Linked DNA regions of Lepisosteus oculatus. The main gene of each other region encodes a partner of the protein of the gene in region 2 in a complex. Links are inferred from orthologs where the notes say so. Each region holds a gene or a part of one and is shown on either strand. Other genes may lie near its edges. The genes, in order: hjv, bmp2a and nog3.

What was found.
Region 1: the proteins of bmp2a (region 2) and hjv are in contact, whole or in part, in a crystal structure (PDB 4UI1), measured with the Homo sapiens proteins. The link is inferred for Lepisosteus oculatus from reciprocal best matches to the Homo sapiens genes BMP2 and HJV. Residues at the interface, in NP_001191.1 of Homo sapiens: Phe331, Pro332, Ala334, Asp335, Leu337, Asn341, Ile344, Val345, Leu348, Ser351, Val352; in NP_001366281.1 of Homo sapiens: Leu40, Asn43, Tyr46, Val47, Tyr86, Leu101, Ala102, Ser105, Ala106, His108, Gly109, Ile110, Asp112, Leu113.
Region 3: the proteins of bmp2a (region 2) and nog3 are in contact, whole or in part, in a crystal structure (PDB 7AG0), measured with the Homo sapiens proteins. The link is inferred for Lepisosteus oculatus from reciprocal best matches to the Homo sapiens genes BMP2 and NOG. Residues at the interface, in NP_001191.1 of Homo sapiens: Trp310, Asp312, Trp313, Val315, Ala316, Pro317, Pro318, Gly319, Tyr320, Ala368, Ile369, Ser370, Met371, Leu372, Tyr373, Lys379, Val380, Val381, Leu382, Lys383, Asn384, Tyr385, Gln386, Met388; in NP_005441.1 of Homo sapiens: Ile33, Arg34, Pro35, Ala36, Pro37, Ser38, Asp39, Asn40, Pro42, Leu43, Val44, Asp45, Leu46, Ile47, His49, His199, Arg204, Arg206, Pro219, Ile220, Gln221, Tyr222, Pro223.

What each region holds. Positions count from the first base shown.
Region 1 is NC_090722.1:4,340,521-4,350,787, reverse strand, and holds the start of hjv (hemojuvelin), read right to left. Parts: upstream 4,031-10,267; 5' UTR 3,677-4,030; exon of another isoform or gene 3,653-3,676; intron 3,491-3,652; 5' UTR 3,426-3,490; intron 3,402-3,425; exon of another isoform or gene 3,186-3,401; intron 1,637-3,185; exon of another isoform or gene 588-1,636; 5' UTR 447-587; intron 1-446. Other genes in the region: uncharacterized protein, read right to left, coding at 4,909-5,721, 5,844-5,959, 6,870-7,035, 7,161-7,316. UniProt on the Homo sapiens protein: Acts as a bone morphogenetic protein (BMP) coreceptor. Through enhancement of BMP signaling regulates hepcidin (HAMP) expression and regulates iron homeostasis.
Region 2 is NC_090697.1:40,820,147-40,831,156, forward strand, and holds the start of bmp2a (bone morphogenetic protein 2), read left to right. Parts: upstream 1-6,588; 5' UTR 6,589-7,024; coding exon 7,025-7,074; exon of another isoform or gene 7,075-7,331; intron 7,332-8,038; coding exon 8,039-8,403; intron 8,404-11,010. Other genes in the region: gdf3 (protein DVR-1), read left to right, coding at 2,961-3,243, 3,510-4,354. UniProt on the Homo sapiens protein: Growth factor of the TGF-beta superfamily that plays essential roles in many developmental processes, including cardiogenesis, neurogenesis, and osteogenesis. Induces cartilage and bone formation.
Region 3 is NC_090704.1:38,736,315-38,745,750, reverse strand, and holds nog3 (noggin-3), read right to left. Parts: upstream 3,309-9,436; 5' UTR 2,719-3,308; coding exon 2,044-2,718; 3' UTR 1,589-2,043; downstream 1-1,588. UniProt on the Homo sapiens protein: Inhibitor of bone morphogenetic proteins (BMP) signaling which is required for growth and patterning of the neural tube and somite. Essential for cartilage morphogenesis and joint formation.

The DNA.
Region 1 (10,267 bases), on a different chromosome or scaffold from region 2:
CGGCACAGAGTTTTTGACTTGGTTGGATAGCTTGCTCCACACTCCCACCACCCTTTGTGTAAAAAAAAGGTCATTTTACTCTCAGTTTTAACAGCACTTCCAAGTAGTTTCCATTGTCCTCTAGTTCATGTTTCTGAATTTTCTTTTTCTTTACAGTCTATTGTGCAAATGGTTCCGATACGTTTCCTTTTTCGACTATTCTGTTCTCACACTTGATCTCTGTTGTGTTCTTTCTGACTCTGACCTGTCACCAATCCACCTCTAGTTTAAGATTTTTAAGGGCATCAAGCCAGCTTACAGACTTCATTTCCATTTATCACAGTAACCAGTGCAACATTGTACACGTGGCAGATCAGCAGTGTTTATGCCCTGGATGGGAATCATTCCGAAAAGTAACCCAAACTTATGCTTAAGATCCTTTTATTTTTTTTCCAGGCCAGACTTACCAGACAAACTCAGCTCCTGTCCTGTTCTTTCAGGTGTTTTGACGGGCAACAGGAGTGCGCCAGGAGTGGGATGATGGGAGAATCCAGCTCGTGAGCCGAGAGAGTTCGGCTCTCGGTTATTTCCACTGCCTCCTTGTCCAGCTAGGGAGACAGGAGAGGACACGTGTCCACCTGGTGGTCTTGTTTCGACGTTTAGCTGAGCTCAGGTCAATATGGCTTTAAAGGCAGGGCTGAAGCAGACTGCTGTCACCCTTTCTCCTCCTGAAATGGAGGCCGACAGGAAGCTTTGTAGTTTGGACTTTCTCTCTCTCTCTGTTTGTCAAAGAGGCACAAAGTCGAAGCTAAATCAAATATGAGTGAGCCCAGGGAAGCAAGACCCCTGTCCTTCCTGCTTGTCTGATTTGTGCTGATCTCCCTGCCCTTGCTTAAATAACATTGCTGGGGGCTGTTCATTTCCAACATCCACCACTCTCTGTGTAAAAACAAACGCATCCTGTTCCTCAATCCTGAAGGCGCCTCCACTTGGTTTCCTCTAGACCATGTTTCACTATTGATCCCAAATAGATCCATTTGGACTACCTTTATCAGTCATTTTTGAGGCTCTCGAACATTCCTGTCAAGGTGTCCTGAAATCTCCTCTGTTCAAGACCGAAGAGATTCAGCACCTTTAACTTGCCCGTGTGTCTTTTCCGTCTGGGAGTTCACACGATCACTCTCTGAACTGACTGTTTATTTATGTGCTCACTAAAACTGTACACTATACAATAACAATGCTGAAAATAAAAAAAACGTAGTAAATTTGACACATTTTGTTGCAATCTCTATCCTCTGCTTCTGTAATTTGTACAGCACATGGGTTAGAACAATGATATTTTTTTTTAATAAAAAGCCTGATTTATGTACTGCTTCAGAGAATTCCCCTTTTTCAGCTGTTGGCTTATGGGTGACCAGTGGGGCTGTGGTTCCTCTGACCCAGGGTTGACCTCTTCTGACCTGTGACATATGACCCATGACCAAACCTCTGCAGCAAACAGAAGCACTGACACCAAGGTGGCTGATACCTTGAAAACTGGCGCGATCTCTTCACACACAGGTGAGGGTGAAAAAAAAAATTTGCTTTTGGAGTAATCAGAGATGTCACCAGCACAGAACAGGAAAAGGGATGCAAGAAAATATTGTCTTTAAAGAGCTACACTAACCAGCGTACATCTTACTTTAGAAAACTCCAAATAAATTGACTTCTCAGCCTATTACCAGCTTCTGGGGGGGGGGGGGGTGTTCTGGATTCAAATGTTTCTGGGGGGACAGGAGAGGATCTGTCGAAGAAGAAATCAGCCCAGGCAATTCGACCCCGATCATTTTCTCCCTCTGACCTTTAATCCAGTTTAAGAGCTGCAAGCCCTGTGCTGTAGAGAAGGGGTGGGGTGAAGAATTACTCTCTAAATATACCCCCTTCACTCCCCAGCAAACCGTGGGGCACTGCTGCTGGCCGTCTGAAATAGCACCTGCTAAACTGAGCGCAGGCAGGCAGGCCGGCCACACAGAGAGCAGCCTGCAGCCCAGCCCCAGGACCCCAGCGCACAGCTGCAGCAGTCTTCGCACAAACAGCCCTTCCCAGAACGCCGTGCGGGGGGGGTTACACATGCCTTATAGTTTGCACAGTCGCTGTGTAGTCATTTCCCACAAGAGAATGGTAGAGCCACCTGGGATCCCCGAGAGGCGTTCTTTACACAAAGAGTGGCGGGTGTGTGGCACGGCCTAGCATTCCATCTGAGAGCTGATTGGCTACAATCGTATTCTCATCAGGCTCCTGCTACGCTCCTGTGGGGCAGGGCTGTGTCCTTCAACTATTCCTCATCGGCAGGAAACGCGAGAAGACAGAAACTGCGCCGCCTCTTCCAGTTTTGACTGGAAGGTGTTAACACGGCCTGAGCCCTGTGTGGGCCATCACCACTTACCGAGGATAAAAAGAGATGGGCTGGAAACATTTGTTGCGCTTGGTCCAGTTGCAATCCAACGCACGGGGCCCACGCAGTGAACGCACAGCGCGCGGGGTGAATAACACCGTGCGGTCTGGCCGTTGATGTGAAAATAATTTACCATAAAACAACGCCATGAGCTCGGATAAGGCCCTTCCGCTATAGAGGTTCGGCTCCGTGGAATTGCGGTGTAACGTGCCGTGGAGGAAATACAGTGCCGTGGGTTACTCCACCGGAAAATGCTCTGTACGAAAGGAAATAACTGCCTTGTCTAAACCGCGCACCGTGGATCTAACGCGGCTTCCCACGGACGCGGGCAGTGTGATGGCCAAAGACAGCAGGCACCGCAGCGCTACTGGGTTACCTGTCACTGCCACGGCTCACAGCTGCGTGAGGCAGCCAGACGTGTGAAATGTAGTCGTGGGAGCGTGTCCACGCGTCTGTATTTCCCCCCCGCTTTTGTCAGGGTAGCAAAGTACCGAAATGTAACACTCCGCGGTGCTGGCGTTATAAAATTCGTTGTAACCGGAAAAATACAAAATCCGCACGGTTGTTTGCGCAGGGTCCTTTACCATCTAATATACGATGGGTATTGCATTCTGCCTTACGGTAATGGCCGAAGAATTTCTTTTTTAACCCGCTTTATCCTGTCCAGGGTCTCGGGGGAGCCGGGGCCTATCCCGGCAAGCATGGGGCGCAAGGCAGGGTCCACCCTGCGCCGGGCGCCAGATCATCTCAGGGCAGACAGACACACACTCACCCCAGCGCCAGGTCCCTCAGAAGCCAATGAGCCCACCAGCATTGTGTCTGGATGAAGGGGGGAACCCGGAGCAGGCAGAGGAAACCCACAAGATCACGGGGAGAACATGCAAACTCCACACAGACAGCACCCCGGGACTGGAATTCAACCCAGAGCCAGGGCGCTGCGAGGTAGGGATGCCACCCGCCAGCCAAAACAAGGAACTACCGGTCTCCGACCGCTACGGCTCGTTCGGCTCACCAGCGCTCCGGTTTCCAAGCGGCTCCCATCAGGCTGTCGGGACAGCAGGTGCAGGACTTTGGAACCTATTAGGAGAAGATTATCGGCGTTCGTATGCGTCTGGGAAACCGTTCAATAATCACTTTGCATATTATTATTATTAGTAGTAGTATTAGCAATAGTAGTAGTAGTATTTTTATCACGCACAATCAAATTCACTTAAACAAATACGACTAAATTCACTCAACGAATGGAGAAAAAGAAGACCCAACCGAGAAAGAGCGGCGGCCGGCGGGAGCCGAGGGGTCTGTCTGCAGGCTGCACGCACGGAGAGGGATCTGCGAGTGTCAGATGGTCACATGGGATAGCAGAAATCCACTACCGCATGAGTGGGATTTTTTCACGGAGTTCCTTCCTGGGGGGGGGGGCTGAGGCGGCCATTAATCACCCGCAAGGACACCTGCTGCGGGCGCCAACAGCTGTCAGCGGACCCCCGGCGAGAGAGCCGGGAAGGGCGGACGTGGGCCTCGCCCCTCAGAACGTGCGGAGCTGAGAGAGAAGGGGAACCGAGCCTGGGCACCACACGACGGAGCGGGCCGGTCGGATGCGCCCGCGACAGCGAGCGGCGGCTGCGGGTCCCACACCCGGCGCGGGGCCAGGGGCTCCCGCCATGCTTGGCGGCGCGCCCCCGCTGTGCGCTCGCTTCAGCGCCCGTCTGCAAGACAGCTGCGCTTAAGAGCCGGGAACCAGCGTGTCGGGCTGTCGGAGAGCCCGAGAGCCTTCAGATCCCGACTCAAAACCTTCTTCTCCAGAAGGGCTTTCATCGCACTGGTCCTGCGTCTGCCGCCCCTGAGCTTTCCTACTGTATTCCAAACCCTGATTGTAGCCGTGTGATTCAGCTGTCTCCTCTCACTGTGTACTTCATCCTTACTGCAGAGCGCTTTCAGAAGCCACTTGAAGCGCGTTCAGTAATGAAGCCACTAACGGATATTGTGAATACAGACCTAAATCCTTATTATTTGTGACGCAGTGGCAGAAAAGTGATGTAATATAACATATATCTAACACATCAACCCACACCCTCCTCTAACCTTTACAGAAATGCTATACAGCAGTTTGCCAGATGAGTACTTGTGAGATAATGCGCCCATTATATTACACGTCATAGCGCATTACTAATTTGTTTACAGTATTTGTTTTAAAGGTGTTTTATACTTTTAACTGTTTTATTTGTGCAAATTTGTTCTATACTTATAAAGAAGAGTTATTTTTTTGAAGATGTTTATTTGTGGAGAACACTGCCTGTTTAACATTTTTCAGGATGTTCACAACGTTGAGGTGCAAGACATTTAAGGATGATGTTCAGTATTGTCGAAGAGAAAAAATAATTGCAGCCATGAAAATGTACCTTTTGCACCAAACAGTAAGCATGTCCATTTTCAACCAAGGGTGCTGAAGAGATGCAAGTCTTTTTGTTTTTACTGACTGTACTTGCAGTGCAGTTTTAAATGCACCTCTCCTGCCAAGGCACTTGCCCCTGGGGAGAGACAAAGTAGTGCTTCAGTTGCTCACGCTGGTCTTCGGCCTGCTGGGGAGGGTTGCTCGACGCTCCCGCAGGAACATTCAGAAGTGCCCCAGCTCCATCTCTCCTCCAGTTTCCTGGGATCACCTGATGTTCTGTGTCCTCCTGGTCTGCCAGGGCAGGTGGCATGTACGCCTCAGAACGGCACTGTCTGAGGTAGTTGTGTAGGCAGACAGAGGCCAAGGTGATCTTCGCCACCTTATCCGGTTCCAAGCAGATAGTTGTCCTGAACACACGCAGCCGGTTTGCTAAGATCCCAAAGGCGTTTTCAACCACACGCCGGGCCCTTGAGAGCCGATAATTGAAAACCCTCTGGTCGTGGTCCAGCTGTCTATGGGAGTATGGCTTCATTAGGTCGGGTCGGAGTGGAAAGGCATCATCCCCCAGAAACGCATACGGCAGCACAGTGTTTGTGTCTGGGATGGGCTCTGCTGGTGGTATACTGAGTCGTCCTTCATCCATGGCTCTGTGGAGGTCCGAGTGGGCAAAGATACCTGCATCTGGGATCCGACCCTGGCAGCCCACACTCACGTATGTGAAACTGTAGTTGGCGTCTGCTATGCCCATCAGGACAACGGAGAAGCGGCCTTTGTAATTGTAAGACGTGCTGCCCGAGTGTGCCGGTGGCTGTATATATATCTGTTTTCCATCCACGGCACCCAGGCAGTTTGGAAAATGCCACTTTTCATAAAAGTCCTTGGCTATCGCTCCCCACTGATCTTCTGATGTTGGTGTCTGAAAAAAAGGAAAGAAATACACGAGAGCCTGTCACTGTTGACTAGGAAACGTTCACACACGCAGGGACGTGATGCTGTTTTTGACAACTGGATGGTCAGTTTGGCTTTGTGCTGCATTACCTTCAGATAGTCCTCCTTCAGGACTTTATGCAGCGCTTCACACGTCGTTGTGACGATGTCGGATACCGTGGATCTCCCAATGTGGTATTTCAACCCCAACAACGTAAAGCTCTCTCCTGAAGAAAAGGCATCAAACAAGATGTTTCTACTCTTGAAATACAAGGGCCTTGAATACAAAAAGTCCCTGAAGCTAGGGCTACCAAACGTCCGGATTTTCCCGGACATGTCCTCTATTTTGATCCTTCTATCTCCGTCTGGGGGGAATTTTCAAAGATCCAAAAATGTTCGGGATTTCGACTCCCATTATTATCACCATGAAGAATAATTAACACAATTTTTAAGGATGAGGAGGTTAGAAAGAGAAAGAATTTCTTAACCTCTCTAGTTCGCTTCACGACCTACGTCAGCATTGAGTTTTCGTCCTGTACGTGGATGATGATGTCATGAGAGAGCGAAATCGGGCGTCAATACCAGTGTCTTTACCCAGTCTATGCAGTGCACAAGCGTTCCCCCGAAAAGCCTCCCTATTTTGTTTCTCTTTCCCTACCCTCAAACACCATGCTAATGCGAAAGTGTAAATTCACAGCAGAACTAAAAAATTTATCTCCGTGTTTTCGAAGTGGCAGAGAAGACTGGGAAGCTGGGTGTTTCGTGTGTAAGCCTTGTACTTTTGTCTCCGTGGCAGATAAAGGTGGACTTCACCTGCACGCTCCTGTTGACTCAGACAAACACAGACAGGCAAATCCAGGAGAGAGTTCGTCAACCAAATTAACAGATTATTTTGTCAAATCTGGCAGCAAAACAGAGGATACTGTTATTGCAGCAGAGGGTGCTTAGCATTTCACACAGTTCAACATCATCACAGTTACTTTACCAATGGCCATAAAACGTGGAATATTTTGAAAACCCTCTCCACCCCGATCCCTTCCCAGATCAGGCAATACGAAAGCTCCTCAGGGTGTCCTCTTTTTTCGATGTTCAAATATGGTGACCCTACTGAAGCTCCCCAGAGGTTAGCCTACTAACCTGTGGCCAAAAATCTCAGCGTGACGGACAGGCGCTCCCTAGCTGTGATAGCCTTCCGGAGTTTGGTGTCCTGCTTGGATATGAGCGGTGAGACTCTCTCCAGCAGAAAATCAAATTCCTCTGCGGTCATCCGAAGCAGCTCCCTGAATCCTGTCCTGTCATTCAGCTGTTCACGAAAAAGCAAACAACGGAAAACTAGAAAACAGATAAATAACAGTTCATAAACAGTCTCTACTAGTCAGCGATGGGATGCTCGTAGCTAACGTGCGTAATAAAATAATTCCTTCTCACCTCCAATTGTCGCTGAAGAACTGTCAAACCATATTGTCCACAACCAAACAAATGTGACCTACTCCGCGTTCTTCGGCGTAACCTCTTCTTCTTTTTCTCGCCACAAACGAGAGCACAGGCTACAGCAACGGCAGCAACTATCCGCTTGCTCTCCATGTTGTTTGTTTACTCTCCTGCGGTGCTCCTTTTCCTGTTCCGGTGCGCTCCACGGTGATTGGCTGCCCAAACGAGGCGAACTCGCGGTAGAACACGAGATTTGGAGCCGTGATGAGAAGTCGTGAGGGGATCGTGTCATTAGTCACCCCCTGCGAATCCTTGTCGTATAAGTTGACACCCTCTAGGACAGAAAAGGCCGCGAGATTCAGCAACTGCAACTGGTAAATTTGATATGCTCTCCGACTGGTAGTCGTGTCGAGTCATGTAGTGTGACGCCTTTATCATTTACTCTGAACTTAATTAACCAGGAGAAACCAGATTCCTTAGATCAGTGAGTCCCAGACCCAGCCACAACCCAGTAAACCTCAGTTCCTATCTTGCTTTGAAGCGTCCCGAGAACTGTAAATGTTGACACTATCCAGGTGTTAATTATTGTCTCTAGAGATATAAGATATTTCAATAATCACTTCCGATAACCGTAACATCATAATTTAAAATTAAATCCAATCAGTATTGTGGTTCCCAAGAAAAAGGCAGTTTTTAGTGTTTTAACTGAACAGCAGTCTTGCACCTATCTAGGTATATACATGTTTATGCGGTATAAATACAGTTGAGTCAGATGCTAAAGGTGTTCTGTAGAATAATCACCATGGTTGGAGTTCATTGTGTAAAAGATTTTTAGACAACAGGTTACATGATTTATAATACACATGCATGATGTGACAGGTAATCAACGTGTAGTTCGAGATCGATCCTATTTGGAAATGAATACGCTATCGTCGTGTATCGCCGCATGTGAGTGGCGTCTGTAGCCGACTCTTGCTCTCCACAACCGCTCTCCTTTGCTCGCCTGTGAACTACCCCGCAGTCGGATTTTAAAGTTTATCATCTCGATACATCAACGCAGTCTCCGTGAAACGACTTTTCTCATCCTAATCCGGATTATTTAGAGCCGATGTTTCAGGAAACCTGACTGATCGCCAAGGGGTCATGTCTAGAACTGAGCCTCAGACGAATGCAATTCACCCGACCAGCCAACAGGGGGCGCCGGAGCCGCAGCTATCATCCAGGGTGGCGCTCGTCTCGGACTGGTTGTGCGACGGGTCTTATTTTTTTCTTGGTGTCACAATCGCTGTTAACGGCGATGCAACAAGTGCGACATGCTGGACAGAAAAGAAAAATAAGGAAAGGACATAAATTGACGGTTCTTCCGGGCGATCACAAACTGTGTCCGGGGTTCACTCAAAAGAAGAATATTATAGAGGTCCGGGGGTCAAAATGTTTCCTGCACAGCGAGGTGAAAACGCCCGAATTGTTCATTCAAATGACAAATTTGATTGCCTTCCGTCTTCCACTCATCTCAGTGACCAGTAACGAGACCCAGACCCCTCGGTGGTCAAGTGTCGCCCAGGTGACGATGGAGTGGGGTTCCCCTGGCCTGTACCTGGTCTGGCGTGTCAGGCGTGGGTCTCAAAGGCGGAGGTGGTGTGTGTGCGGTGTGTGTGTGTGTTGGGGGGGGGGGGGTGTAGAGCTCTGGCTGGGGCTGGGGGGGTCGTGCAGGACGCTGAACGGACCCGCGAGGCCGGCGAGCGACTGGACAGACAGGTGAGCGCGCGTCCCTCCCGAAAGTCACGCGCGGGGCAGCGCTCGTTTCACACGCCTGGCGGCGGGAGGGGGTGAGGTTTTGTTACAGCCGATGCCAGGAGCGCCGGGCGCTCCAAAACTCTCGCGGGAGATGTCCCGGGAAACGTCGCCCTTTTAAGAGAGAGAGAGAGAGCGCGCAATCGCGCACGGTTCAGTGAGCACAGTACAGGCGCCTTTGTGCATTGTGGCTGCGGCCGGAGGCGTGGCCTGCCGCGGGCCGCGCTGGGGCTATTCAGCCCGGAGAGGCTATTGTGCGGCGATGTGGGAAAAGCGAGAGACCCCGTGTCCTGGGAGCTGCACACAGCACAGCCCCCCGACAAGTGTGAGGACCGCGCCAGGAGAGGACAGCCAGCCAGCGCTCGGATCCTGTTGAGCCCCAGCGAGCCCGGTCAGAGCAGGAAACTTCTGTGCGACAGAAACTGCCTTTTTGTTTTGGTGGTGGGGCATTGTTTTTTTTTTTTTTAAAAAAAGATATTTTCTTTTAACTAACGAAGGGGATGATGCCACTTCATTCGCTCAAAGAAAGACATGCCCTTGCGTCTTCGGACCGAAAGGCAAAGGTAAGGTGTCTTCTCGGAGGATGGAAACTTCTTGTGGAGTTTCTGCGCCTTGTGCGCGCGCGTCTGGGAAAATAGCCGCAGCTTTCATTGGTGGGGGGAGTTTTATTTTCAGAATAAAACAATAGGACTTATCCTCATCGTATAAATATCTAAACATGGTTTAATACATTTGTTTTTTTTTCCGCTGCAAGTGCCGTCCGCTCGCAGCCTACAGGAGGACAAACCCCCCCCCCGCTCGCCTCTTAACAGAATATGCCCGGTTGCCTGGAGACCGTCGCCGTGGAAACCATTTTAATGTCGCTGCGTTATTCATTAGCTAATGTTTGTTCTTTTCAGACTTGGGAACGCACAAACAAAAACGCGCTTGAACCAGACTTCCGTTACCACCAAAAAAAAAAAAAGTTTCGCGGGGACGCACAAAAGTTAGGTGAGAATGGCGTCATCCGATTCTCACGCTCCCCCCCCCCCCCACCCCCGCGAACGCGAGTGGGGTGTAGCGTCAGTCACTCCAGTTGCTTTTATTTCTGCGTGTGTGTGGTCATTTCCTAATTAAAAGTAAAAAAACAAAACAACAAACAACAAAAGCCTGTTTGGGAAGCAGCCCCCACCGAAAAGGAGAAAACGCTTCGTGGACACCCAGACAGAAAAGTGTCAGGTTGTCGAATACGTAACTTTCAGAGTTTGCGAGAGTTTGTTTTTGAACAGGTACAAACGCACAAGCGTCCAACGGGGTAAATTATAACGCCG
Region 2 (11,010 bases):
ATTTAGGAACAATCAAGCAGATTGTTATATTAAATTAATCTTGAATTATTCTGGGTGGTACTGTAGGTATGAATAACATCCCATCTGAAGTGGGTAATTTCCATCAAATTCTAGACCCAAAATAAAATAATTCAGCACTCTTGTACAGTATATTCCCAGTTGTGCAGTAGGTGTAAATGTGCAATTCCTTGCAGAAAGCATTGAAGTAATGTTCTCTCCCCAATAGTATGACAAAATGATAATTAAGGCAGACAAAATAATTAAGCATTTTGTAAGCAGTGGTGAATGAAAACTAAGGAAGGTTACGGGCTATTAGCACTGAACTATGATAATTAATGTGATAATCGGTGTATGTAAAGACAGTAACCATTATTGCCCACTTTTAACTCCCCCCCGCCCAATCAATCACCAGTGTCAAATCACCTACTTCAAAGATAACGTCTCCAGGAAATTCTACAGAAAGAACATAACCACACCTCAGCTTGTAGGCCAGTGCTTCTGAGTAACGGCTCTTACAAATTGATCAATTCACAAGGATAACGACAGAATAGCAGACACTCCCAAAAATGAGTGTTTTTTCGTCCTGCAGAGGTTACATTTCAGGAAACACCCCTGAACAATGATACTCCTGAAACTCAGAAATGTGTAAATATATTGAAACCAATTACAAAGCCTACATGACTTTTTTACGCACACAATTTTATAGCAATGTTCATCTTTTCACATATAAGGCTTTAATCTACCTCAAACCTATCTTAAAGGACTTACTTCCAAAGTGTTGTCCAAGTGTTTTACTAGAATAAGCAAGCCTCTGGATAATGCTTAATAGTGCCTTCTTGTGTGCAGCACCATGTCTGTGAAATGCATAGCTACGTTTCTTTTGAGGCCTGGTGAATGCTGAAAATTTTAAAACTTGCATAAAGACCTTTCTTTTCACTGCATCTTTAAAAGTAGTTTAACTTACCATCCTTATTTTCTTTACATCTGTGTATTACATTCGTGCAACAGTTTGATTTTGTGAAAACGTGCTCCTCAAATTTATTATTGTCAACACAAGCATTGATTATATGACCCCGTTAATGTAAAATTCTACCCCAGCACACATAACTGATCTTATCTGCTGCTATGCTGATAGTTCAAGCAGCATGGAAAAAAAATCAAGCATCTTTTTTTTTCCTGCACTTAAAAGCTTTGCAAGGCATGCTGAGAACTTTCAGATTTTGACATTTGTCCTGTTTGTGTCATATGTACTGTATATTAGATGCAGACTTGACTCAATTAGACCAACATCTAATATCAATTAGTTTTGAAGGAATAATATTTGAATAATGGTATAAGAAAAATAAGAAAATCACATTAAAAATGGATGTGCTGGTTATTTCACCCTCAACAGAAACACAAGCATTGCACATGGAGAGGTGGCATTTTGTAGCTGCTGGTCTACATTAATTTTTAAAATATATGTCAGCATCAATATAAAAGTGCAGCAAATCTGATTAATGTAACTCACTAAAAACAGCTCTGTGAGTGGAGCAATAGATCTATAAGCCTTACTACTGTTGTCAAAGGTTTTATAAACAACATTATGTAGCATCAAATATAAAGCAGCATAAAAAGTGCATTGGGACAGGAATGATTTGAAATTAATAAAGAATTGGTGGCTCAGAACAAATTTGTCCCACAGATAAATCCAAGTTAGGTAAGCAGGGACACAAATGGATAAATTAAACACATTTAAAATACCAGGAGGAGAAATAAATTTACATAAAGTTCTTAAAAAGAGGCTTTTTAAGTTGTCAACTGTTGACATCTTGAAGCATACAAGTTTAAAAAATAGAGGATATTTAATAAGCATATGATAGACCTCCTATTTATAAATAAGGAACTACTCACTTAAAACGTTAACACCTTCCCCAGACACACCTGTAACTTAAACGACAAATTTCCCCGACCATTTCATTTATCAACCTAAGCAGAATAAAAACCCTATTAATATGCAGTGTTTATTAAATTAAGTCTACAATTTAAAGATGACCTACGACGACAAACTCCGTATAATTGGTATTCCTAAAGCTATGAAACATGTAAATGTTAATACATCTGTTGCATAAACATGAAGATTAACAATTAGCATTACTACGCTTACAAGATGAAGGATAAGCATACAAATTGCAATCAACAGTGCGAATCTAAAACTCTTTGTACCCAACGTACCCAAATAGTACATCCCTCCTACGTTGGGGTTTGACTTTTAAAAATAAAAGGCTAGTATTTGATGAACGTGAATATGGAAACATGAGTTTTATGCATAATTAAGAATTATAGAATATATGGTTTTTACTGTGTCGACACATTCAGCAATAGCAGGAGGAAGAGAGTTAAGACCTCGACTTTTCAAAGCAGGGAAATTTCAAACCAACCATTTTTAGCCTGTAATTATTTAAATATGACCCATTGTCACATGAACTAGATTCCGTGGTCCAAAGCGCTATTTTACACACCCTATTGCTTTATCCGGAGCTACATCTTACCGGAACTTGATGTGGCTAGTAGCGGGTTTGTTCGGGTATTAGGCCTACAACCTTACAAAAACACGGCCATTCCCACAGTATTTTACATTATCTTGTTACTGAAAAAAACTCCCGCTGGAGTTTCAGTTGAGAACAAAAGTGCTCCACTAGCACAAAGGGGGGGTTAATTAGATTCCACTTGCATGTTCACAGCTTTTTGTAAACCCCGAGGTGTGCGTTCTCCCGTTGTACATTGTAGGACTACTGATTGACAATTGAATATAGCCAATAGAACACAAGATTTTATCCTGCAATTAACACCTCTTAATCAATCTCCTGCAAACGCCGTTGGTTTGACTTAGTTTTTATCGGGAACACATGGGTGAAACAGTTAACTCTGTTTTTTTTTCATAACCTCATTCGGTTTAAAGAAACCTTAAGAAATACAGTATGTACGTTGTAATTTTAAAAGCTATAGTTCTTACGTTCTTTCTTGGTTTTTGCTACGGAGGCAAGTCTGAAGATTTGAGAAAACAAGAAAAGTGGTTTCTGAATTCATTGGGTCTTTCTAGCCGCCCAAAGCCTTCAGACAATTTAGCAGTACCTTCCTTATTATGGAAAATGTTCAAGACAAAGACGAGCTCCAAGCCATCCCTTGAAGCAGAAAATGATTCCTGCAGGATATCAGAATTCGATGTCCGTGGAAATATCGTGCGATTTATTCAGGACCAAGGTATTTTCTCACTTCTTGTTGCAATGTGAATGTCGTATAACCTGCACTGTATTATGTTTACTATTTTCGTCATTCCTTATTTAAAAGATCGACGTTATTGTTTCAAAAAACGTTAAATAGTTGTTTAATTTTGATATGTTCATATTTATTACCCTATCTATGTAAGAGTCTTTTGAGGAATTTCATTAATCATTTTAACATGACTTTGATAATTGTATGTTTTGCTGCAATTTACGCTGATAAACGTTGTTGTTGTTTTTTTGTAGGTAGAGTAATTTCTGGATCAAGCCGCCAGTGTTCAACGTGTGTAGAAAAGCACATTTACTTCAATGTTTCTGTGCTTGAAGAGGTTGAGAAGCTCACGTTGGCTCAGCTGGAAATAAAATTCAACCAGAATTTACGTCGATTCTCGATAAATCCACCCATATTCATTATCTCACTATACAAAGTTCAGAAGACAGCATTGAAAGGAATGTCGCGCAAATCCAATCGGAAGCTGCTGCTGTCACAGACTTTTCAACTTGTTCCTGGATCCATCACGTTGGACTTGACGGCTGTCGCAGAGGCCTGGAGAAAACCCGATAAAAACTATGGGCTTGTTCTTGCTATTCATCCCAGTGATCCAAGTAACGGCATGGACCCTTTTAAATTGCCGAATTCAGGAAATGACATTGGGCATAATTTTATTGGAACTCTACCTCAGTTTTACACGTCACTGATCGTTGTTTCTTTGAACCCCCATCAGTGCAGATCTAGAATAAAAAGAAGTGCCTATTATCTGCCTGTAACTCCTAGCAACATTTGTAAACCAAGGCGACTGTACATTGATTTCAAGGATGTAGGTTGGCAAGATTGGATAATTGCTCCTCAGGGGTACATGGCTAATTATTGTCATGGAGAATGCCCATTTCCCTTAAGTGAAAGTCTTAATGGTACTAACCACGCAATTTTACAAACTCTACTCCATTCCTTCGACCCAAATGGTACCCCTCAACCTTGCTGTGTTCCTATTAAATTGTCTCCTATTTCAATGCTGTACTATGATAACAACGACAATGTTGTATTAAGGCATTACGAAGATATGATAGTGGATGAGTGTGGATGCAGGTAATTCATACAATGTAACGTTTTGAATTTAGATTAACAATTTTTAACAAGTTAACCTACTTCTAAATACAGAATATCGCATGGTTAGCGTTTATCACGGATAAAACGGGATCGATCAAGATTGATTATTTTTATTAATATTGTAATAATCAAGAACTCCCGAAATCAAACTATTGGGTCTGAATATCTTATTTTACCTGATAAAAGTTTTAAATTAGCAATTGACAATTTAATCTTATCTTAACAGCCTCTGTAAATCGTTTTTCTGAATTGTAAAGTAGATATGATTACAGACCAAAACATAACTACATTTATATTTTTTTTTTCTCTGCTTCCATTTAAAAGAGGTGCTGAATAAAGTGACATAAAAAGTGAAGTAATACCGGCGTCAGAAGTTGTTTTTAGTAGTTGATGGTGACTGGCTAGGTCACAAAACCTAATTAAAAAAAATAGGTTTCAAAATTTGAATCCTTTAAATGCGAACTAAGCAGTCAGATGGTTTTCATCTTAACAGTCAAATTGTATCTCCCTGAAAATAATTAGTTCTGCCATTAGGTAGGCCTATGTTTTGCCCCAATGCTACTTTTTATTCATTTGTGACTGAAAGGAAAGGAGAGGAGATCTTCCCATTTCTCTAAGAGAAGATCTTGATTAAATGTGCCGAATCTGGTCCACTGGTTCACAGTTTCCTCAACGTAGGTAAAGCAGCTGAATTAACTTCACAGCCTGTCTTTATTCTGCGCGTTTTCGTTAAGTGTGTATTACCTGTCTGTATTGCTCTTATCCATTCTTAAAACCCTTTACTTAAATAAGTATGGGTGCTCTTGAGGTATGTTTACTGTATTTTATTACAGTTTGCTAATACATTCGTTATTTGGTCAGTTTTAAAGAATTTGAATTCAAAGTCAATAAACTTTAAAGCTCTAATACATCGTTGTTATTCCTCTTGATGTTTCTGTGACTGCAGTAATTTAAATATGTAAAGGTATGCATGCATGTGCTTTCCTTGTTCAGTTTTAACAAGCTTTTGCTAACTACCGGTATTCTACACGTCCATGGTGGGGGGGAGGATCGGGGGGCGAAGCAGTAGCAGTTCCGAGGATAATCCGATTTGTGTAATGCGAGACTCAAATTATTTTACTTTTTATCTGAGAAAAATATACAATGAATCTTTGTTTAATACACATGTGATCACACTTTTTAAATCTCTCCACAAGTTGGCGCACTGTATCTAATTTTGACATTTCCTTTCAGATTCTTACAATTTTGAACTCCCTGTAAACAGCGTTGCAAACGTCTATATATGTTAACTTTGTTGAGTTTTTAACACTTTACAGAAACGAAAAACAAATCCGCAACATAACGAATGGTTCTTTACAGGGGACAACCACACAACAGAGAAAAAAAAAAACATTTCTCAGTCTTAACACCGTTTCGTAAATGTTCAGTCGTATCACCCACGAGGAAAGAGTCTATTTCGTCCACTGTAAATTAATGTTATGATTTCTTATAACCCAGATGTTTTTCTTTTGTTACTTAATAAAAGATAATTTTGCAGTTTTGCTGTGCCATGTTTTGATCGAATTTGTGCTTAGTTTCGAAGGACCTTTTCTCTCGGTAAAGAAATGTTGTGGTCTGGAAAAGAACAACTGAATTTATATATTTATACACTAAACATTGGCTTTACAGTTAACATACATAGGCTTTTTTGTGATATTAAAAATAGCTTTAAGAATATTCTAGGAAACATTTAATCTAGTACAGTTTATGCAATATAATTACAATGTGTAATTTTCTCTGATTTGAATTGATATTGCCATTTTCATTTTTTATATTGTATTTATAATTTAAAGTAAAGTTGCTTTACTCAAGTGGTAATTATCCATGTGTAACCTCGCAAGTGATTAGGATTTTGAACTTTTTAATAAAAACTTAGAAGTTGCATAGTTTATTTGGATCTAGAAGGGATATCCATAGTCTTTGTCAGTTTCAAAGTCTTGCTTGATAACAAGCCTTAAAAACTTCCTAAACTGACAAAATTCAGCAGATTAAAAATCCGTTCGCAGATACAGAACTTCTTTAACCTTATGTAGAGCTTCAGGACTAGAATTTACTCCAACAAGTACAGGAGGTGCCTTTGGTGCATGATTGACAGGCTTGTGGTAGTGACATCACTGAGCAACAAAAGGACGCATAAAAAAAAGCTTCTATCAATTGTACTGAACCATTGCACGCTAAATCGGGGAGACGCTCCGAAAGTTATCTTTGTAGTTTGTAATGAGCGGCAGTATACCCTACCGTAAAACTCCCGTAACTTTAATTTTACTGTTGTTTTAATGATTATCAAAGATGACACCTTAAGGAATTAGGTTTTGCCTATTTGTATTTACGTTTTTTCTGGTTAATCTCAAGTGATATTTTCGTATCAGTAATCTGACTCGATTCTTTCTCGCCTGCCGACTTCACAGCTGCTGAGAATATGTGTAAGAAGAGGCGGGCTGTACTGTGGAGGCTTTCTGTTTTCTGCAGAATAGCTGTGTGGAATAACACTAAGTAATGTGGAAAATATCGGACTACAAAGCAGGAAAACCAGCGATCGGACAGAGCACTTCCTTATAGGTAACTGCAGACTTAAAAAACACCTTTGGTTGGTCCACAGGGAATCGGATCCGTAATGGGGAGAAGTAAAGATACCACCATCAACAGTGTACTTCCTAATCAATCGTGAGTTTAATTTTACCTGGACTTTATCCTGAGAGCTGCACTTGTAAAGAAAACACCTATAAGGAAGGTTGAAAAGGGCAGGCAAAAGAGGACGCTGATTATGACCACGAAAGATCCAGCCAGAAGGCATTGGCTTCTGTTTTAAAAAGGAGTGCATTCGGGATATATACGCATATTTCTGGGTTTTTTTCCATGTGGAAACTGTTTCAATGGACGTGTCAGAGAGTGCTTCTTAGTCGATCACCACTTTCTTAAAGGTAGTTGTTTTTGCTTTTTGTTTTTCGCCTTTGATTTGTGGTGGCCAGTGGAAGCACGTTAGATTTAACACCTGTGTGGCTGTCTCTCAGTAACTCTATGATCTAATCCTATTCCAGACACAACACCTTCACGTAAACAGCTTCAACAACTACACACGTGTAACACTCCTTTTCAGTATTGTTCTTTCCCTTCACTCGCCATAGCTATTTATCTTTTTGATCGCTATATTCTTTTATGATTCTTGCATTTTTTTAAGCTTATAAAGACGATTCCTGTCTTTTCATTTTTTGAGTCTTATCTTTGCGCAGTTGCGCCTTCTTGTCTGCCTTCTTTTCCTCCTTCTCATTCATCTCCTTTGATTTTTTTAAAACCGTTTTATCTTTTTAGTTAAATCGACTGTGTTCTTTTATATACCCCCTCCCTTATTGCGTGTTTAACCTATGCCCCTTTATTATGTTCTTATCAGTCTCCCATTTTATTTATCGTGGCCAGCGGGAATATCATTTCCAAAATTTGTTTTTGTTCCTCACATCAAAGTATAATGTCTTTTAACATGCTTGCTTTAAATTCTTCCTCTGGAAAGAAAACATTTTACTGTTCGCATGGCCATATCTTGTGGTAAACATTTTTTACTTAAACTATCAATACCGTACATGTGATAACAACACTCAGGTACTGACACACCGCTTTTTTCTCTCCGGCACAGATTGATCATGGTCGCCGGGGTCCGTGCTCTCATGGTGCTGCTGCTCTGTCAGGTGTTGCTCGGAGGTTCGGTCGGACTTATTCCGGAGGTTGGCCGAAGGAAGTTCAGCGAATCGTCTCGGCAAAGCACGCAGCAATCGGAGGACGTTCTTAACGAATTCGAGCTTCGCCTCCTTAATATGTTTGGACTGAAGCGCAGACCAACTCCAAGCAAGCTTGCGGTGGTCCCGCAGTACATGGTGGACCTCTATCACATGCATTCAGGGAATGGAGATCAGGACCCCAACCGCTCCAGATCAGTGCTGGGCCAGTATTCGGAAAGGTCTGCCAGCAGAGCGAATACAATTAGGAGTTTTCACCATGAAGGTAAGAGTTTCTCCCCGAAGAAGAGTTCTTTTTTTGTCTTAAACAGGAGGTACCTAGGGTAATGGATGTCACATTATCTTAAACACATTTCATTTACTTTGGGTGATTTCGAAAGCACTTTAAACAGAACGGGTTATATGAAATTTCTGTATGTGTCGATTTAAAACTGTTTAATGCCAAGCTTCGTCTTCAACAGGTATGACATTACTTTCGCTCACTGGAAATGTTCTTTTGTAGCCTCTGCTTACTTAAATTGAACATTGTAAATGACCGAAAACTGGTATGTAACTTGTGATATCCAAATTTGTAAATATTCATGGACAGTTTGCAATGTACGGTTGGTTTCAGCGAGTGCTAAAAGTAACGATGGAGTTAGATATCTCGATACAAATATCAACCCTTGATTTGTCTTAGTGTAAAAAGATTGATAATACATACTCATTGTATGTATCTAGCCTTTCATGTATTCTAGTAATTTAAAATCGGTAATTTAGCATAGAAGAAAATGTGGAAGGACATTTTAAAGGTTTTACATTTTTAGATTCAAGAGGTTATCTGATAAAGCACGTTTCTAAAGAAAAGTTGATCTAAAAGATATATAATGTTTTATAGGAAACTATTTAGTTCCATAGTAAAATGACATAAACCTTTAACAGATGCATTCTTTTTAATCATGGTTACTAATGAATGGGCATCTCAATGCTACTTTGCACACTTTAAGTAAGCAATGTCAAAGGAAATAGATTACTTGCACCAATATTTTAACATTTAACATTGACTGTCTGACCTCTTCACATATTGCATAAGACTGGTACCAGCCGATGGGTGGTTCTCAGCCTTGCTTCTAACAGGTACTTGAATTATTAATGTTGTTTCTGTACAGGTTCTGAAAACAATTTTCTCCTACACGAACGGTTTGTTGAGTATCAAATGTTCAGGTCAGGCAACAGTGTACCCGGAGTGTTGTTCACTCATTGTGCGTACACAGCTTAGTTTTCCTTTGATTTGATTTCAGTACATTAATGCTGCATTTGTTTGACAATTTCAGATTTTTCTTTATAAATGTGACAAAACTTTTAACAGAAGCCAACGGAACACAATGGATTGAGACCACAGAACCAATTATTTATTTTAAATGTGTACATAAATACATAATGTTTGTTTTTGTTAGTTCTTTTCTAGACCATACCTTTGTGTGGCAGGTGCTTCTTTTATTCAGTCATTGGTGATACACAGCCACCTCTTTTGAAATATCTTCATTTCTGCATGTAATTTATCATAAATATTTAAATACCAGATGTTAGTCATGGCAGTGCTCTCTACAGCCAAGAGCAGTGTTAATGGTCTTAGAAGGACATGTACTTGGCAGGGAACAACAAACCTGTTGTGGCAATTTGCCACTTTTTTAAAGACACACAACTACAGTTTTGCTCTAGAATAAGTTAATGAATAGAAGTTAATGAAGCACCTTGCCATTCCAGTGTATTTGACTCTCACACTTACCTATGGTCTGAAAAAAGTAGCAAGATGATAACAGTAAGGCCTTGGGTTATTGAATCACAAAACGTATTTAGCAGAGGTATGAGTTATCAAGGAATTTGGGCCAAAGTGAAATATGCACTATTAACGGACACAAAAAAGGATGACTAAGTCATCCCCAATTTTCCTTTTTTGAGACATTTTGTCACCAACTGATGTAGAAACTATAAAAGAGAATTCACTGATCAATTCAAATGGAAAGCATCAGTTTTAAACATTAAAATGTATAATCTATCCCAAACAGTTAATTGGCAGGTTTTAGGTTCAAGTCCTTCCACATTGACACTGCTGTTGTACATTGAGGATGGCATTTTACCTCAGTTGCTCTAGTCTACCCATCTGTATAAATAGGAACCAGCATTGATGATTGTTCCACTTAGTTATTCCACTTAATGCTACAGAAACTAGGATAAGCTCTGGCTCAATGGGGCACTGTGACTCTGGTATGGACTAACTCTTAACCGTAAGAGGTTTTAAATCTGTATTTCAGCTATGTTCCTCCTCTGCTGTGCCTTATTTATGTACAATAAAGTAATGGACAAGAAATCTGAATATGACTTTGTGCATTAAATTGATAAAGTATTTATCACACCATCATAAAGCTCTAAACATATAAGGCCAACAAATTTTCATTTCTAAAATATATGTGACAGCAGAGTAAGTTCTATATTAAAAATATGTTATCAATGAGAAATAAGACTGCTTATACAAAGTTTGCTGGGCAGAATTAGCCATAAAGATAATCACAGTTTAGTAAATGTTTAGGTGCCAAGTCACCACTGAGGTGCCGCTGAGTGCCCTACATGAGGGTATTTAGAAATTGTAAGAAAATGATTGTAGTTAGTCCTTAAATGGCTGTTGTTTTCAGTATTTGGAATTATCTTTGCTTTGCTATCATTGCAGATAGCAAACTTCATAAAACCTCTTTTCAGTTAGGACCTGTCAACCTCTATGTATGTTTTGAGTAGGGGTTTTATGCCTTTTAAAACTGACATGAACTCTTAGTAGGTTACACCATGTTTCATGTTTCTGGATTGTTTTAGAGAACGAGTCTTTATACTCTTCCTA
Region 3 (9,436 bases), on a different chromosome or scaffold from region 2:
GGGAATAAACAAGTTGAAGTATTGGCTATCTTCGTGATGAAAAGACTGGGGGGGAGATCTTCGAATACTTACTTCGAAGGAACGCTGGATGTAGGCTAATGAATGAGGGGCATTAAAGATTATTTGGGGACTTGTCAAAAAATTTTCTAAACAGTTCAGTAATTTAGAAACGTAAAAAATCTCAATATCCTCTTTCTTACTGAGACAAGTGAAGTTTGTTTTCCTTGACTGGAGACTGAAGGTAGCAGACATCGGAATATTTTTACATGTGATCATCCATCCAGCGTGTCTTTCAGGCGCCACACAGATTAAATGAAAGAATCGTAAGATGAAGGTCTTTAACATTTAATCCTTTTACAAAGACCCTTCAGATTGTCTGGGGGTTAGGGTTCTTTTCTTTAAGAGAAATAATGCCGCTGTTCCTATTTTCCATAAAGCGAATGAATGTTACAATGTCTGAAATAAAAAAGGATCAGATTTGCAATAATATGAAGGGCTGTAGAAGACAGGCTACACCAAATAACTTTTAAACAAAATAAACCATAACTCGATTTTTGCTGAAAGGTAGGAAAGTATTAACACAAAGTCTTGAATTATGCCTTTCCTTTCTATTCTAATGTTTAACGCCTTGTTGAGCGTAGCATAGCAAATGCCAAATATAGCTATAAGGATACCTAATTCATTCTGAGTGCAGAAAACGTAGTAATAATAGGAAGATAATAATCGTGACAGTGTTATTGATAAAACTTTAAATTAGGACTGAAAGGTAAATTCTGCGAATAAGAAGATTTATTCTTAAACATAGACGAAGGCGGCTTTTTAAAGTAAAACACCACTGGTATAACCTTTTATTTTCCTTATCACATGATAAGTGAAACGCCGATAAAACACTAGCATCTTAATTACCTTTATTACACTAACAAAACGAGCACTTATATTGCAATTAAATAAATAAATGCATTAAGCCAGACTTTAAAATGACAACGTTTTTAACCCTCCACACTCGACTTGCTGAAAAAGCCAGCTTTGTGTTTTACGTCTAGGGCAAACAAACTGAAGATGAATAGTAAGTTATGTGTATTAAATAAGCACTATAACTTAAGGAACTCCCGGAATGGGACGCAATGGACAAAACAGTGATGCAAGTTGTTAGTATTTTAATATTTTTCGCACTCTTATACGGTGACCAATCTGAATATATTTATGCTATTTTGTTCAATTCATTGCTCATGGAATATGGTTAAATAGAGCGTTGCTCTATAACTGCATTGCTACTTAGTCTGAAATGTTCAGAGCTAATAGGACAGAATCGTATCGCTTCAAGTAGTTTGTGGGGGAAAGTCCGGCGTGTGATGGGATCAAGTAGGATAAAGCTAGGAAGGTGTCTGCGATAAAACGTCTTTGAGAGGCAGTGCAAGGGGTCAAGTTTCAGCAATGTCTGTCCACAATAGTAGGTGTGAAAGACACGTGTCTCCTTGTAAATGAAATGTCAAGGATAGAAAATGAGCGGACATCCTTTCCAAAGCATCATATAAAGCACTGAATAAAGGGAAATAAAACTCAAGAAGACAGCCAACTCTTACCAAAGTCGTTTTAGTGGTTTACTTTTAATTTCTTTACTGGCATTTTACTACATGAATATAAAGAATAAATAGCAGGTACTCTTAATTTACATGATTAATCATTCAAATTTACCTCTATATTTACAGCTCTCGCAGCTGCAGAATTACACTGTAATTTATATATTGCCGTCTGAGGTCCATAAAACCACTTTTTCCGAAGAATGGAAAATAGCTTTAAAGTCCTTCAATAAACGTCTTTTTTGCTTCGCAATGCGAAGTGCTCTTCAATATAAATATAAAGATATATACATTACAACCAGGATATTTTTCCCAAATACAGTAGACGCTGGTTATGCATAATACTGACCTTTTTACAGGTATGTCATTAAATGGCACCACATATACATAAAATATACATTCCTACACTCGGCAGTGCATATAAAAATAACCATGTAGCTATTATTTATATTAAAAGTTCATTTCAGTTCGAGCAGGAGCATTTGCATTCTGAGATAATAGGGTACTGAATTGGTATCCAAGCGCATTTCTGCCCTGTTTTTCGCTGCAGGCACCTCCATCTCAAGATCGTAAAATGGGCCGATTTGGCAGGTTTGCAAACCATCCCTTCTGGAACAGAACAAGACCTCTTACTGTAGCAGCTACCCACTTTCACATAGCGCGGCCAGAATCTGTTCCCGAGGTCGTTCCACGTATAAACAACTGGGCAGAAAGCGTAGGACCACAGCCACAGTTGCAGCCTTCTTCTAAGTTTTTTACTCGGTTTGTGCTTCTTGCCATGAAGAAAGTCAAAAAATTCCATGGATTTGATCTCTTTAGGCATTGCCCCGGTAGGTTTTTGCCTAAGTTCCAAATCAGCCAGTTCATCGTTCCCAGTGTATTTGTCCTCTGGGGGAGATACAGACATATAGTGAGAGTCAAAGTTGCTGCCCAGTATACTTCTCAGTTCGGTCTCGTTAAGGTCCCTTTCCTTAGGGTCAAATACAGGGTCCGGGTGTTCTATAAGCTCCACAATTGGTAAATTGTCACTGGGAATGGGACGGAGGTGATAGTAATGTTGGCACATTCCTTCTTCTATTGTAAGACCGAGGGACAAAACCAGTACATACATAGCTATAAAATACTGTGAATGATGCATCTTTCACAAACGTGAAGTAAAAAGTTACAAAATATGATATAATAATCCTTAAAAAGCTGGAGCAGGCATCCAGTTAGTTCGTAGATTAGGAGTCAGAAAAGAGCCAGATCCTTTGTAATTCTTCGCTGCAAAAGGCAAAAGCTGGTACCACAAAGTTATCTCTTGTCCCACCGCTCCTCTCTTTTAATGTTCTTAAACTTCAGGTAGTTGCTTGCACCATAGCAACCAGTGACTCTAGTAAGAGTAATTGAAACTAGTAAGTCCAAGGATACAAACCTCCTGTCGTATGACAACAGAGTCCATGGCAGGGGTGACTTAATGATCCCTTTTAAATTTTCAGAAAAGGTAGAAAAAAGTGTACACATTGACTTTTCTACATATAATTCGTTTGTGGCAGCATCAAAAACCCTCTGTAGACTCTGACTCTTGCTTAGTTGTTTTTACTTTCACGCGTCGTACCAGCTTCAGTCCTTCAGCACTCAATTTTAAGTCCAGAGGTCTCAGTATTAGCATGTTTTCTCTTTTTCTTTTGCTGGAAGCCAAACTGAAAATTACCTGGCTCGTCCGATTTATCCACACGGGCTGTGATGTAATCCATAAACCCATTCTGGATGTAGGTTTGTTGCCAGAGATCCCCGACACCTCCTTCTCTCTGGGGGCGGGGGTGGGGTGGGGATAAGGGGTGGTCGGTCTTGGGTGTCGGAGCTCCGAATTAGATCAGTTGGATTTTGCACGCCCTCTACTGGGAGATACGCATTCTTGTAGTCTCATTGTAAAAGAAACCCCCCGCTACATCACCACCCCACATTTCTGGCTTGTGGTAAGCAGAACAAAAAGGAGTCGATTAGTTTTATTGATATTTTTATTATTTAGTTTGAAAGGGAACATTTCTTTAACAAAAACAGGGCATGAAGTGTTCATCATGAAAACTATAACTTATATATAGTTTTATTTGGGTATTTTAACTGCGGCAAAACTTGTTTGGAATGATATAGAAATATTATTTTCGCAGCATTTTTATTCTTAATGTTCTTAATTGAGTTTTGTACATAAAGAATCCCCAAACGTCTCAGAAGACATTTCTGAATAAGCATGTAGCAGTAGCCAAGGACTTAATGATCGGTCAGGCAGGTCACATTTGTTTTACAACATCTTTATTTAAATGTCACACCACTCAACTCAATCGCTGTCAATAAATCACATGCTACCAAAATTGAGAACGTGTCGACTTTTTGTATTGAATGCACCAGTGTGCGTTTTCGTGTACCGATAAACTGTGGAACTGGGGTTTTACGAGGCGCCTGTCCCAGAGCTTAGTGGAGCCAGAATCCTGGGTGTTCGGCTCCTGCTATATTTACGCGTCCCTGGCCTCTATATATCACTGAAAGGTGCAAATCATCGCCCCGCTTCTCTAACTATTGTCTCTAAAGGCATCTCATGCAGTGGTGAGCGCATTTTCTTTCAGCAGAGTACTATAAAAAGTAACTCTTGTTTCGTATAGACAGAATGAGAAGTTAAAGGCAAATGGGGAGGTTGTTTGTGTACCTACATTTTATTTTGCGGACGTTATAGTCAAGGTTAATATCCAGTAAGTGGTGGGTATAGGAGCGATAACTCCATGTTAATAAAGATCTTTCCAATATATGCGAAGTTCTCTACTCATCGTGGGACACAGATTAAGAGCACAAGAGGGAGTGAAACACCAGGATCACAGTAGTCGGAATTTCAGTTTTGTGGCAGGACTTATGGTCATGTCTAATGCATAAACAGTGCTAGTGGGAGGAAAACATCAACAACAACAAAACAATGCCAGGAATTTTTGTAACTCTGCCCATTAAGACAGATGTCAATTAAGATAAATCTCAAAACTGTCGTCAAGGAGTAAAGATAAGGGGACGGTGATTAACTGAAGCATATAACAGTAATGAAAAAGCTTCAAAAGTCGTCTAGTGATTAATTTGTTCCAGCTACTGAACGGGCTCAATACATAATCCAATTTCCCTCCCATGTTATATAAAAAGACCCATTATTAACAGCCACAGAGCTCAGTAATGCTTTATTGGTAATTATCTAATGACACTTGATGGATAGCTGGTTTATAGAAAACGACAAATATTTTTTTCTGAACCACTTAATTTTCCCTGCTGAAAAAAATGTTAACCTCCATTTTCAAGCAGATGGCAAGAACACATTAATCCGCGTTTTGTTCTGAGCAAACGACTGTGGTTTACTATAATATTAATTTATCTAAGTTGCGCAAAGGCACCTTAAATAGTGCTTAATAATTACAACGAGTAATAAGTGTTTTTAAGCCATGCAAACATCATTCTGTTATCGGTGAAAAATGTGATGTACATCGCCTAAAATGAAAACTGGTAACATTGGAAATAGTCCGATTGAAGAAAGGGGAAAAAAGAAACTATTTTAATAAGGTACTTCTTCACAGTGTTACTTCTCTGTGCAACAATGAGACGTGAGTGTAGTAAAACAAGCTGCTTGATCTCTTTGCTACTCTTCTCTTTCAAGACGAAGCCTCAAACACTTCCAGCTGTTTGTATTTACCCAATATCTAAAGTTACATCTTAAGAGTGTTTGCCCCTCTTAATAAAAACGTCCCGGGTGCTTCTGTCGTATACAACTCAGTTTTAATGAAAATCTAATTTTAAAAGCCAAGTAACAGGCTCCATTGTGGTGATGAACACTGATCATGGAAATTTATAGGCGAACCTTTGTCAAAATGTTCAACGTTTTGCAATATTTTCACAAAAATGAAAAGAGCACTCAAAGACGAAAAGAGTTGAAAGAGCACTCAAAGACGTTCCATCTGAGTGCAGAGTCGCGTATGCTATAAACAGATTTTCCAGACTGCGAGAAACTAAGTTAAATAACATGACTAATGCACTTGACATTTTAAAGATTCATTGCGCATGTTACTGAAAGTCACGGTATTCACTTAATTTTAAAGTGTTGCGCCCCCTGAACCGTTCTGTAGACTGGAGTGAAGTTACACCTTGTTACTTGCCAATGACACCCTGAATAGTATGATACACGGTATTTACGTACCTTCACGAATCCGCACTAGATGGCAAGTTATTAAAACTGCCGTAACTGAGACACTGAGTAAACTTTGGAGCAAAAGTACTTCAATTATGTAATTTTACGCAACTAGCCTTCCCAGATGAACTCGTAACATGTCGAGGTTATACATAGACGTAATTAATACAGCCAGTTCTAAAATAATATACAACCTTAAACTAAGTCTATTTTAATTAGACTCTCAGAAAAAAATGGAGGTACACCCCACCCCCTTTTCTTTCATTTACACACATACAAACGCTCTCTCTCCCTCTCCCTCCCTCGTCTTCTCTCTCACACACATTCCCTAGTTTTAACTGGCGCCAGGTTCTCAGTACTGCCCTGTGTTTGTGTCAGAAAGACTAGGACAATATTTCAGTGTGGAGCCAATCCACAGGGAACCTCTCAATAAAACCTGACCAAAATAACTCCCTAATGAACAAGAGCACCCTTGCTTGATCCTGCAGTAAGTAAGCAGGCATGGAAAATCATTATTATTATTATTTATTTGCTTAGCAGACGACCTTAAAGTCTTCACAATCCACAAACCTAACAAACTGTCTAATGGTATGACTCGTCCTTTGAAAAAATGAAAGGAATAACTTACCTGCTGCTGTATCTGCAATAAACTATCCATTTAGATAAATGCAACCCTGTTCTCTTTAAATTAGCTATTTTACTCATACACATCAACCAGTGGTCCATTTATCTAGTTAGAACAGCATGCCTAGTTTACATTCAACCCGCAGTGCCAAGTCTGGAAAATTCACAGCCATATTTTAAAACTGACAAATTAAAGATTATAAACCATAACAGAAAAACATACACGTGTTCAGAAATGAAAGACAAATTACATACAGTATTACTCTCGGATAGCGCTTAGTGCTCTTATGCAGGGATACACCTTATCGTATTTACGAACAAGAAACGTTCTCCAATATTCCATCTAGTGAACAAGAGGTAACATAGGTGACAAGATACAAAGTGTATATTTTGTTAAATTGCCAACACTCAACACAAAGATACACTGAAAATAAACTAAATTGCAATACACATCTTGGTCCACATACAGTACTTCAGTCGACTACAATGAAACTGCAGATTTATTAGGTCTCTAAAGTTGTAGCGCCATTTGATCTACATTGTGATTACGATGTAATTATCATTTGCTTAAACGACTTGATTGCTGAACAACTCTTAATTTATTACAACAGCAACAAAAATAGTTAAATTTACTTTGTTCAGAAAAGGTAATACTTTGTTCTCTACAAATACTCTGGACAATTTGAAATACGAGATTCTCTCTATTCAAAGACACCGTGAGTTTACATACAGTACACGGATAGGCTGAATTGGTACTATGTTTTCTTTTGATTTGCATTGTGAAATTAGGAACGGAGAATGCTGTGACGTACACAATTAGCCCCCCAAAAATGACCATTAATATCTTTGGATTAGATGATGATTTACAATAACCACAGAGAATTAACATCTCAGATTGTTCAAATCAAAAGCACCACAGTGCATAGTAACCACTAAAATCTGGATTTACCAAGTGTCACTTTTCACCAATTCATCCCTCAGTAAACCTGTCAAGGCTGCGTCCTGACTCACCTTCGGTATCCTTTTCAAAAACAGAACGGAACATTGCCAGGAGCACTTCGGCATATTTATAATTAATTAATACGTTACAATAGACTTTGCCAGTAATTACAGTTTCATTTTGATCAAGCACATGAGTCATACCAAACAGACACGACAGCTTTTAAACCTGGAACACTGTGAAATGTTCGAGTCTCACAAGTTTCTTAACAGGTTTTGAAAACAAGTCAGAAACATAACAAGGAACATGTCTCATACATATTCTGAAAAGGTTTAATATAAAGTATATTCATTTCAACTTCTACGATAAAATAAATAGTTTATTTATTAACTTATATTATTAATGAAATAACTAACATTTTTTCTTTCCGTTGTACAAATAAACTGTCGTCATAGCCGCGTTTAACGTTCTTGTGGAAGAGGGACAGTGAACTTCATTTCAGTTGTTTCAAACAAAGTCCAGAGCAGGCCTTCGGTATATATCGTTAAAAAAAAACGTACATAAAATGCTGTTCAAGTTATGCATAACGCGTTAATTAGTTAATTTACATATATATTTTGTTAGTGCCCTCCAAAATAATGTATTTGTATCTGTATATGAATTGTATATAAAAATCTGGACCATAAGAATTGATGAGAATGTGTAGAGCTGACGTTGTAATCTGTCTGGGAGAACTAAAATAATTACATGTTACATAAGAAGTTAAATATATATTTTTTTAATTTTCGGCTAAAGGCAGCGGGCGTAACCGAAGCACAGTCGGTGCTTACCGTTCTGTTTGAACTGCACATACTCGCGATCCTCACAGTATTCGCACCGAGATGAAATGAGTTTCTTAAATGGAGTTTTCTTCTTACAGGTGAGACACACAGGTGCGCCACATCGTCAGAAACTGCACCTTATACGTAGCCAGACGTGATTAGTATTTAGCTCGTTGGTGAGTGGACGCTGAACAGATAAAACAACATTAAAATGTAAAAATGTGATTAATGTTCGTTCCGCACTTTATGCACTTAGGCAATTTATTATATTTATGAGACACTCAACTAAAAAAATCTAGCAAGGATCTTACTTCATAACATCACTAGTTTTACACTTGACATCAAAAGTTGTTCTTACCCATCTGAACATGCACATGTACATGTACTGTATATACTTGATAAACTAATCTGTGACATACAGTACTCTTCTACTGTAATTAGTATAAGCCTACTTGCCATTGATATCATAGTACTCGAAGCAAATATCAAATATGTTGAAGTAGTTCAGTTGGGGAGCTGCGTTAGTATGCGTAGGCTGCAAAGGAACACGTAATCGGTTTATTCCATGCTGAAAAGAGAAGAAAAAAAATGTTTCGGCTGTGGCGCCTCTTTTGGGTCAAGGTCCTCCAGGTGCTCTGGTTTCCTCCCACAGTCCAAAGACGTAATGGTAGGTTCCTGGGAAAACTGGCCCTGGTGTGAGCGTGTGAGCATCGGTGTTTATGTCTGTCTGCCCTGTGATGGACTGTGTCCCATCCAGGGTATACCTCATTTTCCATCATTACTTGCCTGTCGGAAAAGCAAGAAAGCAGTTAAAAATGGATGGAAGTTAGGGAAGAGCATATTTTTATTTAAAATGTTATATGAATAAATACATGTTCCTTTGCACATGATACCACACATAGGTTGTAAATCAGAGAGAAAAATACATGATAGAAAGGTTAAATATAAAAGGTTTGTAGGCCTAATTAAATTTGGACATAATGTGGAATACAAGGCTTTCATGACACCACTTTCACATGAAAAAGGCAAAGTGGGTTTTGTGATTCAAAATATACAAATTGGTTACACAGGAGGCTACAGTGACAGAGGTATCACTTATGGGTTTTGTTGAGTGACCTCAATTCGGTTCTTGAAAAAAAGGGGCTAAAAACAACCGATTTTAAATAGAGCAAAATGTCAAAGCAAATCCTTTACTTCTATACTTTTCTATACTATTCTATACTTTTTAATATTTATTAATTATAAAGCTAAAGTTAATAGCTTTAGAGCTTCAGAAATA